2 linked regions of the Oreochromis niloticus genome follow. The protein of the gene in region 1 purifies or fractionates together with the protein of each later gene. This does not show direct contact. Links are inferred from orthologs where the notes say so. Each region holds a gene or a part of one and is shown on either strand. Other genes may lie near its edges.

Region 1 (7,919 bases):
AAAGGAAAGTAGTTCTGATGCAAATCCCAAGTCACACTAACATTACACCTAAGATTGCCCAAATCCCATTATCTTGCCATCCACTACCTAAGCACGATCCATCTCTCAGAACAAAACATCACTGGAAGTTAGTTCCCAGCTTTTACTTTAAAATAATAAAATTGTACACAGAAACTGAAAGAGCTTAAACATATAAAAGTTTAACTCAATCTGACACGGACCAAATAGGTTTTGAATGCCACCGAGTGAAATCATTACAAATTCCTCAGTGTAGTTATTTTTGTATCAGACCGTAAAATTCTTTTAAAGTCTAACATAGATTCCTAATCTCTGAAATTCTTTTTATATACAACTTGTATATATTTGGCTCTTTGTGATGGGATTTAAGTGCTTGTTTCAGCCAAACATGCACAGGAAGAAGCAGAACTCCAGCTGAAATTTTGTTCAACTACCAGACAGACAAATCTGCTGTCACATTTTGTAGTGAAACCTTCGTGAGGGCTTTTTCAGGCAGATCATTCAGCTGAAGTTCAGGGCAGTAGAAGCACACCTGTTTCCTCCTAAGATGTTCTGTGGTCTTAAACATATAATGCCGTCAGCATACCCTGCTGTACATTGTATTCAGATATCAGTAAAGCAGAAAGCATGTTTTTCTTTAAAAAGAGTATCTTACCTGTGCAGAGAAAGGAGACTGAAGGAAAGCCATCCCATTCTTAGGGACCTCTATCCGATACCCCGGTGGCAAGAAGGCATTGAAGCCCAAGACGAGGTCTGGGTGTCCATGAAACAGTTGTGATACACGGTTTATCACTCCCGGTGTGTCGATGCTATTTCAGAAGACATACGGATACTTTAGAAGTTTGGTTGAGAAACACTGATTAAGTACTTCTCTCAAACACCACAAAGCACAAACAGAAAACAAGTTATTAATAAGCGCTATACAAGTTAGCTTTAAAGAAAAAGAAGCAAAGAGGAAATGCTTTTAGTCCTCGTTTAATTTCAAGATAATAATACCTGTCGCATAATTATAGTAAGAAGCTATGTGCAGTATCATATGCACTGATAAACTCCAGATTGTGAAACAGAACTAGTCAAGGATTAAACTGCACAACGTAATGAAACTCCATACACAAGCAGCACAATCACCATCTAAAGAATATGTATGGGAATGTATGTCATTAAGAATGCATTACTAGAACTCCTATTACTTCTGGTTTTCACCTTAGCAGAGGTACAGCTGCCAGTTGGTCACAAGATTATACAAAAACCATTAAGCTGAATTTCATAACACTTGGTGGCGTATGGGGAAATGAAGATCCCACTGTATTTTAAAGTGGATCTGGACCACCTCCCTTAAAAACTGCACAACAGAAATCAGTGTGTTCCCTGTGTTCCCTGTGTGCCCCTGTATAGTAGTTACTTGTGGTTTGTTTGCATAAATGCCCAATGATACCTCTGCGACTTGAACTCCTTCATGATGTCGAGAAACTTGTTATATATCCCAGGGTCATTCGCAAAACGAATTTTGACTTGGTCCAGATATGACAAGGCATCTTCAACCTAAACATGGAGAAGAAGAAGGAAAAATCAGTACAGAGCAAAGCACAGACAGCCTCAGCTGGATGTATGGAGCAGCATTTTCCCCAGCATCCAGTCATGGTGCTCACGGTAGATAATTTTACAGCTACAAAGCTTGTTTACAGATTTCAAATGCTACGTTTTGCATTTATTAATAAATGCATTTATTTGCGATTTGTACTATGAAATTACAGGTAGCCCCATCGTACAGATTTGTCTCAGTGCTGCATACGTGAAGTTACGTGAATGCTGACCGATTTCTTCACTATCAGCCAAAGTGCAACATCAACAAATCCTCTGGTTAGCAGTACAAGCTGTACAACTAACGCTAAAATAAATAAATAACTGGGCATACACAAGAGACACCAGGCAGCTTTTGTTCATTACTCCACTGCTTTCTTTCGCTACCACAGCTAGGCTAGTTTAGGTTGCGCTAAAGGGGGAAAAAATGTCTTCACACAAGCCATTGTCACAAATAGTCCACATCTTAAAGAGGGTTGTTGTAGCTAACGTTTAGCCAGTCGACTGACGATAATAACTCCACCAACACTTGCAACACCTACCCGCATACAAATTTATACAATATGTTTAGTCACAGCTGGTCCCCGGCCAACAGTGTCGCGTTGGCAAAAACAGTACGACATATTAAAACACTACTATAACAAAGAAACGTGTACTGAAGCTGCTAATGAAGTGAAATAGCCGTTCTTGGCTAGCCTGGCTGACGTCCTCCACTTTGTTCGGGGTGGCTGAAAAAACGAACAAGGAGGAACTTCCCACAAACGAGGTCTGAGTTAACGTTTGCTCACAGAAGCACTTATTGATATGGCAAATGAGAAAGTACCACTAACTGTGCCACTCCACTGTCACTCGCACATACACTAAACGAAACACAGCTTCTAAATCCAACATTAAATGTCAACGTTAGGCTGTTTAGCAATGAATTACTTTTAATAGGCCAGCGAGCTAACTAACGTTAGCCAGCCGTTCCTTTCACTACTCTCGACGACAGTAGAGAGAAAGAGAAAAAAAAAGCCTCAAATCCAATGCAATGATCCGACGAACAAAATGGTTCTGACTCTCAGCCACTTTTCCCTTGTCATGTCCGTTGTCTCCTTACCTTCAGCTTCTGGAAGTGCTGCTGCTGCACTTGCTTTTGTGTTATAACGTAAGGCTTGTCTTGAATTTGGTTTATTTGCTTCGCGGTGCTGTGCGCCTGAATCTTCGCCATTATCCCGGCGACAGGAGGCTCGAGAGCCGCTACCACAACTTGAGGGAAGCTTCGGCGTTACCTCCAGTTGTTGGCTAGCCGACAAACCTTGCTCTCGGTCGGGAAGCCAGCCTGCCAGCAAGCAACCCTACTCTGCCTAGCTGGACAGTCTAGGTACAGAGGCAAAAAAAAAAAAAAAAAAAAAAGGACGGGAAATCCAGCAGAATGAAGGTTGATGACAGACAACCTGCTACTCTCGGTGACTTTGATGAAACATCACCATCGAATTAAACGAGCCCAGGCGAGAAGTATCGGAAAATAAGCCCAGAGACAATGGTTACCGTTTTTCGTATTTAAAAAAAACTAAAGCCTGTCTCTTTAAATTCGGCGGCAGCGCTCTGTCTTGGCGTCCGGAAGCCAGAGTAGGAGTGAAAAAAAAAATTAAAAAAATTAAAAAAAGTGAAAAATTGAACTGCGCAGTCGCAGCGATGGGAGGAGCTGAGTTCACAAGAATCAGATTGCTCCACTCCCCCTTCACTGCTACAAAGGAGCAGCGCTACTCCATGCAAAGGATGGTTGCACACTCCACAACGGTGCCCACGAATACGAGCTCGACGGTGGACCGAATGCCGACTGTGAGAAAGATCGATACAGGGCTATTGATAGACACCTACGGCTCATTCAGAGGGCATTCACAATGGATTCAGCTTGGTTTTCCAACGCAGGAGCCAGAGGCAGTTTTAAACAACTTCAATGGATATGAGGACGCAAAGAAGAAAGGAACAAATATTTCGCTTCAAAAGGGTTTATTAGTGACTGATTTACACATGGTAAGACATTAGGAGTAATGATGACAAATGAGAGAAAAAACAAACAAACACCATTTGTGCATTAAATATCTACAACACAGTGTTCATTCTACCACTGAAAGGTGCTGAAAGGAATCCATCATAGTATTCAACTATGGGGACTTTGCTGCTAGTTTCCACCTTTGTAACCACTGCTGAAAAGTCAGTCCTCCTTTACTGACCTCAGGAAGAACATGCTGGGCTGGCCTTTCCCACCTACAACACACAAAACAGGGAAGTTAACCAGAGAATGAGACGCTGGACTACTGAGCAAGGGCATGAATGGAAAATAATTAGAGCCAATAAATTCAGTTAGATATTGGCCTCAGATAGATGTACTGGCATGAATGTTTTGGCAGGGTTAAATTCAAGCCATGAAGTCATTTACAAATGGTGTAATCACCTGTGTGTAGATAGGCAAGTTAACAGTAAGGTTTAAGACTTAGTTTACTACCAATGAATTAAGAAAGCTGGTCTTTTTTCTTTTCTTTTTTTTTAAATAGATTGAGCTGCAAAACTATAATTAGATGAATTAAACCACTATCAGCCAGTTTCTGTACCTGGATTAAGCTTCTACATTTTCTACAAAAAAATCTAAAATCTAGAAGATCACCAGTAAAAAAAGGTTTTAGTCCAAGACTGTATATTCACTCTGGAATAATGAGATGTCAGTCAGTCAGTAATAATCAGAATCACTGACCAGGTGTAATTTATCCATCACATTATGGTAACCAGTTAAAAATGGCAAGTACATTTATCTCTTCATAATGGACTCCAGCAACAAAAGCCTCGTCAGACAATCAATGAAAGATCATTAAAACTGCCTAAATCACTTACATTTGGAAAGAAAAAACACATACAAAAGTGTGCACGAATAATCTTAGTATTGTCTAAAGGTTAAACCAGGAAGTAGTTCTAATGAGTGTTTAAAACATGCTTTTTTAGTGATAACTCATCCATTCACTTGCAGATGTTGTTCAGGTAACTGTGTCACTCTAGGTAATTCCCAGATCTCAATTTGTAAAAATACACCCAGATTAGAAAGGAGAAATCTCGATTAAGCAGCAATTAAAATAATAATAATAACAGGTCATCGATTTAAGAACTGTGTCTCACCAATAAGAGATGGCAGTTTTGACTTGGTCCCCATAAGAAAGGCCCTGTGCACAGCGGTGAGTGAGCCCTCTGACTCTTGGTACCAAAGACTTGAGAAGCTTTTGGTCCTCCTCCATGACTCTGGACAGGAGAGCTAAGAGTGCAGACAGACAGCAGTATGTTACTAAAAATCCACCGAGCATTTTATTTTTTGTGGAAATTTCCTAACATATTAAGTACGTGTACACCAAACACTGCCCTCATTTGTGTTTAAAGCAAACGCTTCTCTCTTGATAAGTTCTCCTGGTTACCTTTTTGATCAGATGCCTCCAGCTGATCCGCTTCCTTCTTTATCTTCTGCAGAGTGGCAGAGTGAAGCTGAAGTAACTGACGGAGAAAACGCAGCTCAAGCTGTTGTGAGCGAGATCGGGAACACAACTCCTCCGGAGCCTGAAGTTGGGTGTGAAAGTCAGAGAAAGTCAAAAAAGTTACTAGTATGCAATATATGAGGAAAAATAAAAAAGTGAAAAAGGACACCTCCCAGCAGCTTTGGTATATGTAACTCTATTTTCCTTCTGCTCAGTGAAACTGGCTTTCAAAGATGCAATTTTTGTCATCTCTGGTTGTGAGGGGTTCAGCATCGATCAATGACAGTCCGTTACAATCACTTAGGGCACATTTAAGAGTTGGCTGCAAACACTGATTTTGTAGAAAATCATTTGAGAAAGAGCCACAGGAAAACACAAGTGATGTTAGGATAGTGAGACGGTCACAAAGTCCCTTTAGAAGATTTCTTTGGAGGCCATTACCCAGGCAGCATGACTGAATAAACTGTTTTAGTGACTGAAATTACAAGTTGAATATTTTAAAATAATACAACACAAAAATCATGATGTCACCAGTTCAGAACAATGCTCCACTGACTGACATCTACTTTTACTGAAGCAAATGACTCAGTCACACTAAAGTAAGATCATCATAGTAACCTCCTTTCAGCAAAGGAAGGAAGGAAGAATGAAGTGGTTGCCCGGTGACTGCATTTAATTTTTTTTAGCGTTAAGCAACCGACTCCAGCTGGACGCCCTGAGTTTGAGCATGCAACACTCTCAAACTCTGGCGACCACCTTCAATCACAAGGCGACTGCAAAGGTTGTCTGCAAATAATCAGTCTAATTTACAAACACAGACAGTCTGCCTGAATGATGCAATCATTCGGAGTCAGCTGAAGAGAAGAGCTCGTCTGCAGAGCGTTCATTTGTAAGAGAAGACTCTAACTGCCTGTCGATTTGCAATAAACTGCTGACCTGCAGTAACTACGTCCCCATTTGTGAAAGAATTTGTTTTAAACCTATGAGGTTCTGGCTGGGCTCTTAATGCAAGTAATTAAATGAATTTCTGTGGTATTTAGATGGTAAGGGAGGGACACAGATTTGCAATTTTCGCTAATTAATCACCATATCATTATAAACAGATTGCAACCGTAGCAAAACATGACTGTGAGAGTGAGCAGAATCAAAGAGAAAACAGTAAAACTGCAACACTTTACACACTATATGCCAAAAATCACCTTGTACAGAGGGAATGCCAGACTCTGACACAAGCTGCTGAAGGTCGGGGACTGCAAGCGATGGATGGACAACCATGATGCAGGAATTCGTTGCATACTAAACAAAACAAAATGGAATTATATTTCTGGTCAGTGAATGTCACCCCTGGACAAGGACAACAATTAAATATGTTTTTGTTTTGATTCACTGCAGCTGGGGCCACAGATGTACCACCAATGAGGCAAATATAGGGATACCAAGCAACATGCTCATACCCTTCGATAGTTCTGCGGTCCAGTGAAAGAAGTGAAACTGCTCCCATCTGTCTGGCCTCCTTAGACACAGCGTTCCTTAGACTGTTGGCTGCAGCGGTCACATCTTCAAATTGTGGCATTAGTTTTGCCTGGATGAATTCCTCTAACTGAGACAAAACGCAAAGATTAAAATCCTCAGAGTGCTACAAAAAAACATAAGAATTAAATTTTAGTCACTCTCGTTTTTCACCCCAGACTGAAGCCTCTCATCAAACATATTTCACTGTCATTGATCCTGACCTCTCTGTGAAGATGAATCAGCTGCGTCTTTGCTGTCGAGTTCCCCTTAATCAGACCTCTGATCTGCTCTTGTCTGAGAAGCTGTAAAGACAAGAAAGCAGAACATGATTATTTTTATGATGTAACAAATGCTGACGAAAAGTCAGTCTTCTCACACCTAGCAAACATAAGACATCTAGACCAAAGATCTACAGTATATAATACATGTAGAAAATATTTCATCCAAAAATACTGTCTGTCAACTCTCACCACTAGTTGTCTGAAGTCCAGTATGCTCTGCCACTGGCTGCGAAGGCTTCTTAGCGCCTCCTGTCGACTTTGGGCATGTTGGTCAAGTTGGATGCAGCGGTCTCTGATATAATCCCTGGCAGCTGCCTGCATCACACACTGTAGTTCCACCTCAAGAGCTGATCTAAGAGTTCAGAGCGCAAGGAAAATAAAAAGCACAAGTAGAAGACAAGACAAAATTATTGCCTCTAAAGATATTACCACTAATTAAAATGAACTCACATAGCTGTTTTCAAACAGGATGCAAATACAAAGTTTAAAACTGAGTTGACAACAGAAAAATTGTATCGTTCAGATAAAAACAACAATAACAGTGGCTGTTTGTTGGACCTTTTTTTCCCCCCTCACAGAAACCCAACTCCCAAGTTGCAGTACTGCAAAAAAAAAAATAACAAAATGCATGGCAAAGGCAGAGATTGAATTGGAATGAACTTACAGTGCCAAGGAATCATCCTGGAGCTCATCTCTAATACTGGACACCTCGAGCTCAGCGTCCTTCTTACGGGTTTGCAGCTGGTTTTTGAGCTGCTGGACTCTGGAGCGAGTCTGGGCCAGTTCCACCAAGCTCTGCTCCACTTCTTCCCACGCAGCCTGCAGCAACAATCACATGCGGGTCCATGCATAAAAAGTTACCAATCGCAGATTCCAGGAAAAAGAAAGAGATGATCATGGTTTGATCACGATTTTATGTATCAGGACATAATGTGTGAAAAATAAGTCCACCCTTACTGCTTCTGCATATTTCATTAACTGATCATCAGCAAATGTGAGCACCACTATAGAAGCAGAACTTTTGGCA
Region 2 (8,005 bases), about 12 Mb from region 1:
GTCCAAATCAGTCCGCATCTAAATTTTACTTTCTCTTTGACAGATCATTTACAAGTACTCGTTTCCCAAAGTTGCACTAAAGGTACTCCCACAGGAGTCTTCCTCGCTATATACCTCGAGGCAAGTGTGGTGGGAAGTTCTGTTGAGAAACTGCAGCAGGGGTCCTGATGATCTGAAAGTTCGGCATCAGGTGCACGTTGCTTGAGTGACCCTTAAACACCAAGAAAGCAGTACAGGTCTTTAGTAATCAGCAGGAAAAAGACAAACATTAAAAGCAAATGTAGAAAAGACTCACCTGCTGACCACTGATGGTTGCCACAGGGATAGACGGGGTGGTAGCGATGCTGCTCTCGATGGTGACCGTTATGTGACCAGGCACCTTGGGGGGTATGGGCATATGAGCCTGGTTGGAAGCTGGTGCTGGAGCAATAAGACGACTTGGCATCGGTGACTTCAAGACCGCCTGAAAAAAGACACAATCAAAAAAAAAAATTAACATCTGTTTGTTTTAACAAATAATACGAGCTAGATGATCAGATTCAGACAGCCCAGGTGAAAAGTTCAAGCTCAAGTGAAAAAAGAAATATCCTATGATGAGATGCCTGTCTACAGCATAATATTTTCCCCCACAGATCAGAGTTTTACTGAACCTTTTGGTACTTCAGAGCTAATTTGATCTTTTTTAATTTATTGTTGGGTAACTTGGTCTACAATAACATACTTTTAAAAAAGTAAGGAAAATTGGCATCTTATTATTTTCAGGAATTGCAAAAACTGAGACCGCGGGGAAAATGTTATGTTGAACAGTGGCTACACTCAGAAAACGATGCCAATATAAGTGAGTAAATTATGTTATTTTTACTTTGGAGATGGTTAAGTTTATAGAAACTCAAACAGAGACTTAAAGGTCACCTTCATCTGGCTTTCAGTAAGCACTGCAGGCTGGCCCTGTGGGAGCTGGACAGAGGGGGTAGGTAGGGTCGCAGGTGTGCCGGGCTGAATGGCCACGTTTTGGGTGGCAGCTGGAGGCTGGCCGAGCTGCGTCTGTACTTGTGGGTATGGTCTGACCACCATGGTCTCTTGCTTTTCATCTCTGAACGCCGAGGTTCCCCCGCCACCGGCAGGTGGATGATCATGCTGACCGTGGTCACCATCCCGACTGCTGTCTGCATCTCCACCACCTCCACCTAAGGAAAAACAACTTGATTAGACATCAACTACACACTTACATCTTCTCTGCCGTTTTTGTGTGATTAAATGTTACCTGAAGCGCTTGACGGTTGATTGACAGGCACCAGGTTTCCAGCCGCTGGGATCTGAGGTGCTCCTCCACCGGAAGCAGGCAGCCCGTGTCGGGGGAATTGCTGGGAGCTCATTTTAACTATTTATTATCTAAAACAGGAACATGCAACATTAACTCCAAAGCAGATGCACACATGATATGACAAAGTTAAAAGTTAAAAACACCACCGTAGGCATCATGAGAAACAGGGAGAAAAGGCTAAGGAATGCCAGATTTGCCAAATCACACAAGAAACTGACTGAAAATCTGTGACAACTGGTCTGATGGAGTTATTAATCAAAAAGTGAGATTTTTGGGGTCAAATTGTTGTCGATATAACGGGAGAAGGTGAGGAAAGAGGTTCAAAAGTGAGTTTCCACCGCCATCTGTAAAACACAATGGAGGCTCAGTCATGTTGAGGATGTTTTGAAAATTAATATAATTATGAATGCAAAACGTTAGGAATGCAAGCTCGTTAGAATTGCACAAACTCCGTTTTGGCCTTATGTACTCCATTTCCATGTATGTTTGCATGTTTCAAATAATTTCTGCACCCATTTCCTAATGTACTTTTTGCACAGTACAGTTCAGCTTCTAATAGGGTTTTTTCCAGACTGGCAAAAACTAAAGACAGCCGCTGTATGCCTACTACGATTTAAAAATGAAATATATTTATGGCACAAATATCTTAAATAACGGCATAACTGTTCATTATGGACGTGCTTTGCATAGTTATGGATACAGACTCTCTTCACTCTCACTGAAAATACTAAAACATCCAATTATTAAAGTGAATTATTGTAGCCACGTACAGACAACCTGAGACTGTAAGCCCTGAATACCACAGGGCTAGCTTAAGTATCCCGGGATGGCGTTAAATTCCCGGCCTGAATGTAGGGTTATTTTCCCCAGGTATAAATACAAGTGTGCCGTGAAATTTTAGCTCACCCTTTGGTCACAAAACATTTGAAAACGTCTGCTCTCGACGATCCGGTCCGAGGACCTCAACAACAACAAAAGCCCTGTAGATTAACCCTTCACATGCAGCGCGGGAACGTAAAACGGACAGACGGAGGGCAGAGGACGTGTCCATGAAATTAAGAGGTGTTTAAAATCACAGAAAAAGCTACATTTGAATGTCTGAAAGGGATCGAACAGCTTCAGCACCTTTGTTTGACATTATGTAGTCGGTATCGTATGACAGACAGCAAACTGAGTCGATGCGCACCAAATATGACGTTAACAAGCATGCACAGAAAAGGCCTTTCAGCTAGAATCACACGCGTTTTCAGCTCAGTCAGATACTATCCACCGTGGTGGCTGTTTTAGCCTCTGTAACCCTAAAACCGAAAAGCTGCCTCATTAGGCAGCTATCCCACCTAGCAGCATGCTAACACTGGAAGCGCTAGCCCTGCTAACCTGCTTTTCATGCCAAATCCTGAACTTTCTACAGACTACAGCGGCACGAACTTTCTACAGCTAAAAGGACAAAAAGGCTGTTGTGTATGCGCAGACTTTACCGTATCGATGAGTTACTGGGCAATGCTCGTTTTGTGGATTACAATTTTTCCATTCGTCTTTTCTTTTTTTCACTCACAAAATGCAAGCCGGAAGACCGCTGAGAAAGGACTGCACCTACTTTCTACATTCAACCAACCAGAGAAGGGACTGCTCGATCGCTGGCCAATAGAAATGTTTTTAGCGCCATAAAGTAGTACAACGGGCTGAGGGAGGTAGGCGGTTGTTAAGGGGGACCTGGGGGAGACGCTAAGACACTCTAGTCACGTGATCGACGGACGCAATCGAGCTCACTTTGGAGCCAAGTGGGAACCTCCGAAAAAAGGAAGCCAAGGCGGAAGCGCAGAAAACTGCAGTTCCTCTAAAGGCCACTTGATGCTGTCTATGCTTCAACAGCAATGAAATATCCGCACAGAAAGTAATTAATTCAAAGAAATGAGCGACCAGACACATAATTCAAGAATTAAATTACAAAAAACACCCCAATATATGTAAAGAAAAGGATTCCAGGCATCCCTCATAATGTACCAACTCTTGGTATATTCCAATAATCACTACTTGTTAAAATGTAATTAAATATCGTAAATCCTGTTAAACGTTAAGCTGTCTTTAACACGCAAATTTCCAGATTTACGGGAGAAATAAACTCTTTTAAAATGGTCTCCACTGTCTGATTTTTGTTTTTTAATAAACGGGAGATCAGTCTCCATTTGCAAATCAGATAAAACATATCCCCTTTAAAATACCCTAGGTTTTTTAATTATTATTATTTTTTTATGTTTTCATTTTCACTTAGATGCAAAACACACAAAGAAAGCTTCTAAATCTTCCCTTTCACTCATGTTGCTATCCTTTTGTCACCAATCACAAGGACAGGAACAAAACTTAAAGTAAAGCTTCAAAACATTAAAATCCAAGCCGTTAAAGACATCTTGTTCTCTGTCACTTTATGCTTACCCCAGTACTAAAAAGGCTCTGGCATGTAGTTCAGTCCCAGCACACCAGGCGTCAGTTTGAGAGGAGGAGCAACTGTAATACCTGCACATAAACACTAGAGAGCAGCAGCCAGTCATCAAAACATCTTTACATTCTTTAAAGATGAACTGATAATTATAATGCATTTAAATAACATATGTGAATCTGCATAATGAGTATTTTTACTTTAGGTCCTTTAAGTATATTTCAGTGATAACATTTTTTTGCATTAGTGGGTGGGGTTATGACTCATATTTAAAGCAGCTTTTAAATAAAAAATTATGCTCAAACACTTCTTCAGTCCCTTTTCATGTAAAACATCTGTACCAGCCCCCAAATCCAGATTTTTACCTAGCCACCTTTCCCCCATGTATATTTCTGATCATATATCTTTTGATTTCCTGTGGGCCATTTTTTTAAACATCCTGGAAGCTCCCCTGATATATGTCAAAGTTATTATTATTAACTACATGTAGAAGTACATGTAAAAATATAAATATTTTAGCTAACTGACATAAAAATAAGAACTAAGCTTAAGGGGAAAAATTAGAACAATATTTTCTGTGATTTTCTGCTTTGGTCAAAATTATTGCTTTAGTTTATCTTTGTTTACTGAGACTACAATTACAGTGAAACTACACATCTGGAAAAAAAATGTATACAGCAAAATAAAAACCATTGGAAAGATATAAAACTATGCACAACTCTGGGTCATATCCTTAGGCTATTCAGCTGCTGGATTACGAACTACACATCTCATACCATCAGCGTGATCAAATAGATAGGACAGGATTAGGACATATGAAACTTTATATAGTTTTTAAATGATTTGATTTATGATGCTGTTTTTGGGACTCTAGCTGATTTTTAGCTAACAGGTGGAAATGTCTGTTTAAAGGTCGGTTCAACAACTGTAGGATGAATTTGGCACAGATATTTCTGTTGCCCAGCGACTTTGCTGATGCCATGCCTTTTTCTTTTGCCCTGTTTTGGAAATGTGCTGCCCTCCATTAGCACAATCCAAAATTGCTCTTTTATTGTAAGTAAATATGTAAGTAAATATGGGCTGCTGACAGAGACTTTTTAGTTATTGCACTTATATATGCACTTAATTATATGCACTATTTTTCAAGGCTAAAAAACTATCAATTTTATGGCACCTTTTATGTTTTTTTCATGTTTTCTGCCATTTATATACTTTTATAATCTAGGATATTAATATTGAATTTCGCTGAAGTTTCATAAGATTATATACTGGTGCCTGACTGGGATCATACAAAAGAGTTGAAAGAGATGAAGGACATAGTACTTAACAACAACAGTCAAGACAACAGAAATACTGAAGCAAGCAGTCACAGGGGGGAAAAACTCTTTCAAAGTAAAACAGGAAATAGACACTGCTAAATATGGAACAGGAAAACTCCTAGTAAACACAAAACAGGGGAACACAGGGAGGTAAGAGTAATAATAAAACCAATACTGGAACCCAAAACTAAACAAAAATCAAACTCATAAACTTCACACGTCAATGATTAAACCAGGACTCCAAACTTCAAACATATAACCAGCTCCAGGAACAAAGACAATAGACGGTTGTATAAAAATGACTGAACATAATAATTGACATTGGAATATTTTATGATCTCTATCATATACAAAGTAAAGGGTATTGGTACGATAAACTAAAACAGAACCTTTTAAAAGAGTATATCTGAATATAAAATATAACAGTTATTTAAGTCACTACAATATTTTTTCACTTAAGGGTTAAAACAGTGTCAAGTCCTTTATCTGCATTAACATGAGTGAAAATTCACAAACGATCTTTCATCAGTGATCAGCTCTCTCCACATAGTCGTCATTTATATCCACCTGGATCATAAAGGGTTATTCAACCACTGCTGCATGCTGAGGCATGCCCTGGAATTCCCCAGCTGTGCCCATTCAGTTACTCACATACACCTGCCGGTATGTTTCTTTAAGTTGTGAAACGCTCGTGAATTCTTTGGATATTATTTGTGACTGGTTTTATTTGGTACTATTAAATGAGTCCAAGGAAGTAAGCAGTAAGTTAGTAAGATCAGTGACTAAAATTCAAGGAAATGTTAACATGAGTACAAGCAAAAGAAAGAAACACTGTTTTTCTGTGACATACCAGTTTGACTCTTACTCATTTGTCGGCATTGTTAATTACTCATAACCATTTCAGACTTCAGTTAAGTGACTTTTCACAGCTGTACAATGTCTGATCTTAACGCTGACTCATTTTTGTTTTTGGTTTTTTTGGTTTTTCTCTGGCCTGGAGGTTGTCCTCTGCAGCATGTCTCTCCGTGTTGCTACAGACACAGATTGTTTTGACTCATCTAATAATTCCTTCCCTACAGTGAATCGGCCTTTCTGGGTTGTGCAGCTCAGTTGATTCACTGGAAACCACTAGCAGACCCAGACAGCAACCAGCCAAACCGCCAAAGAGAGGTTCTCCGTGGTTAATGAAGTATACTCTCCCCAAGAACCCCTTTCAAACATGGCAGCTTCATTACCTCACAACTCAATTAATTAAACAAGTCATTATGTCTGAACTCAATCAAACACTGAGGCACCACAGAGAGCTCACAAAGCTCCAGATTCTTTCAGCTCCAATAAAGTGATCAGTTTGGCTGTTCTCCCAGGTGTTACAGTAAAGTTTCATGTCCAGGCATCCATGAAAAAAAAGCTTTTATAGGGTTTAGCAGAAAGTTACTGACATTAGCCCAGATGTAGATATATAATGATGTGCTAACTGGTGGCTAGCTAAAGAGATATAGTTAGGCTAATATAAACACATGGCCAGAGAGCAGATGGAGGATCGTGTTCAGACGTTCATGTTGAGGGTCCACGATGGGCAGAGTGGAGTTGAGGTTAGAACTGGGTTCAAAGCCACCATCTGGCCAGGGAGTTTGCACGTTCTCCCGTGTCTGCATGGGTTCTCTACAGGTACTCCAGCTTCCTCCCACTATCCAAGGATATACATAGGTTGATTGGAGATTATAAATTGAATAATGGCACGAATGTGAGTGTGAATGGTTGTCTGTCTCTCTATGTTGGTCCTACTATCGACTGGTGACCTGTCTAGGGTGTGCCCCCGTCTTGCTCTAGGCCCCAGCCCATTGGGTAAGAAGAAAATAGATGGATGGAGCTTAAAGACATGCTGTACATGAACAGCGCTGATAAAACGCTGCAGAGGCTGATAGTGGTGACTTGGACTTTTGTCTTAAAAAAACCCAAGACAAAGCACGTTAGCAAGATAAAAAGGCATCATCCTCATGAGAACGTGACAGAGAGTGACGTGTCACCCAAACAATGCTCAGCTGAAATCGACAGAGCTTTGCTGTGACGTTGGGTTGAAGTAGGAGAGCAGAATAAGCTCCTTTTCTCCCCTAAGATGTCAGCTCCTCCCTTCTGGATGCATCTTCTGCTGGAGTTCTTCGTCTCCACCATCACCAAGTGGTGCTCATTTGATCTAATGTTGTTGAGTCTTTACCGTACTACACAGAGGTGACTGTTATTGTACACTGACTTTTTATAAATAAAGCTTAATTGAATAAAGTCGAGCAGTTCAGCAAATAATGTTGCAGTGGACTCAGGCCGAAAAATTTGCTGCCAGTGGCCTCCTCTGAGAGATTTGCATCGTCTCTCTAACATCCCTAAAATTAGAAGTCAGTGCCCTGATTTATGTGGAAACGTTGAGGGGGCGGGGGCACATTCCATGGCTGCTGTAGGCAGGAAGTTTTGGAATCTCCATGGAAATCAAGGCAAAACACAGAGCCCCACAGTTATTTTTCCAAATATTTCACACATGCCTTTAGTACAAAATGTGCTCAAAAGGAAAGGAGGACAGATGATTTGTTACCAACTGTCCCCTTCATTCCTCACACACACTCCGATTGTATCTCACATTGCTTCAAATGGTGCTTGACTTTAACATTTTTCTGACTGTAGATGAAGCATGAATTATGTGGAGTGCATTTCACACGAGTCTGCACTTTCATACCATGAAAAACAAACAAAGTCAAAATTCAGAACATTGACATCTGTTCTTGATCCACTCTGATTGAATCACTCGCACAGTTGGCAAGAGTCACAGTGGCGATAAATGGAGCAGACCTGACAACAGCCTTTGTAAGTTATGCTCTGGTCCGCATGTATGTGGAATGCATACATGAAGGTTTAACCTTTCTTCATGCTGGCTGG

The links.
Region 2: the proteins of sin3b (region 1) and sap130a purify together in Homo sapiens (affinity purification with mass spectrometry; 3 studies listed by BioGRID and IntAct, with this or other methods). This does not show direct contact. The link is inferred for Oreochromis niloticus from reciprocal best matches to the Homo sapiens genes SIN3B and SAP130.

Annotation. Positions count from the first base shown.
Region 1 is NC_031986.2:44,244,105-44,252,023, forward strand, and holds the start of sin3b (paired amphipathic helix protein Sin3b), read right to left. Parts: upstream 3,098-7,919; 5' UTR 2,810-3,097; coding exon 2,699-2,809; intron 2,464-2,698; exon of another isoform or gene 2,148-2,463; coding exon of another isoform or gene 2,142-2,147; intron 1,561-2,141; coding exon 1,454-1,560; intron 828-1,453; coding exon 674-827; intron 1-673. Other genes in the region: haus5 (HAUS augmin-like complex subunit 5), read right to left, coding at 3,750-3,852, 4,753-4,885, 5,043-5,181, 6,299-6,395, 6,554-6,699, 6,833-6,913, 7,082-7,244, 7,557-7,711.
Region 2 is NC_031986.2:32,733,472-32,741,476, reverse strand, and holds the start of sap130a (histone deacetylase complex subunit SAP130a), read right to left. Parts: upstream 3,041-8,005; 5' UTR 2,803-3,040; intron 2,302-2,802; exon of another isoform or gene 2,231-2,301; intron 1,393-2,230; 5' UTR 1,377-1,392; coding exon 1,265-1,376; intron 1,188-1,264; coding exon 913-1,187; intron 464-912; coding exon 296-463; intron 212-295; coding exon 115-211; intron 1-114. UniProt on the Homo sapiens protein: Acts as a transcriptional repressor. May function in the assembly and/or enzymatic activity of the mSin3A corepressor complex or in mediating interactions between the complex and other regulatory complexes.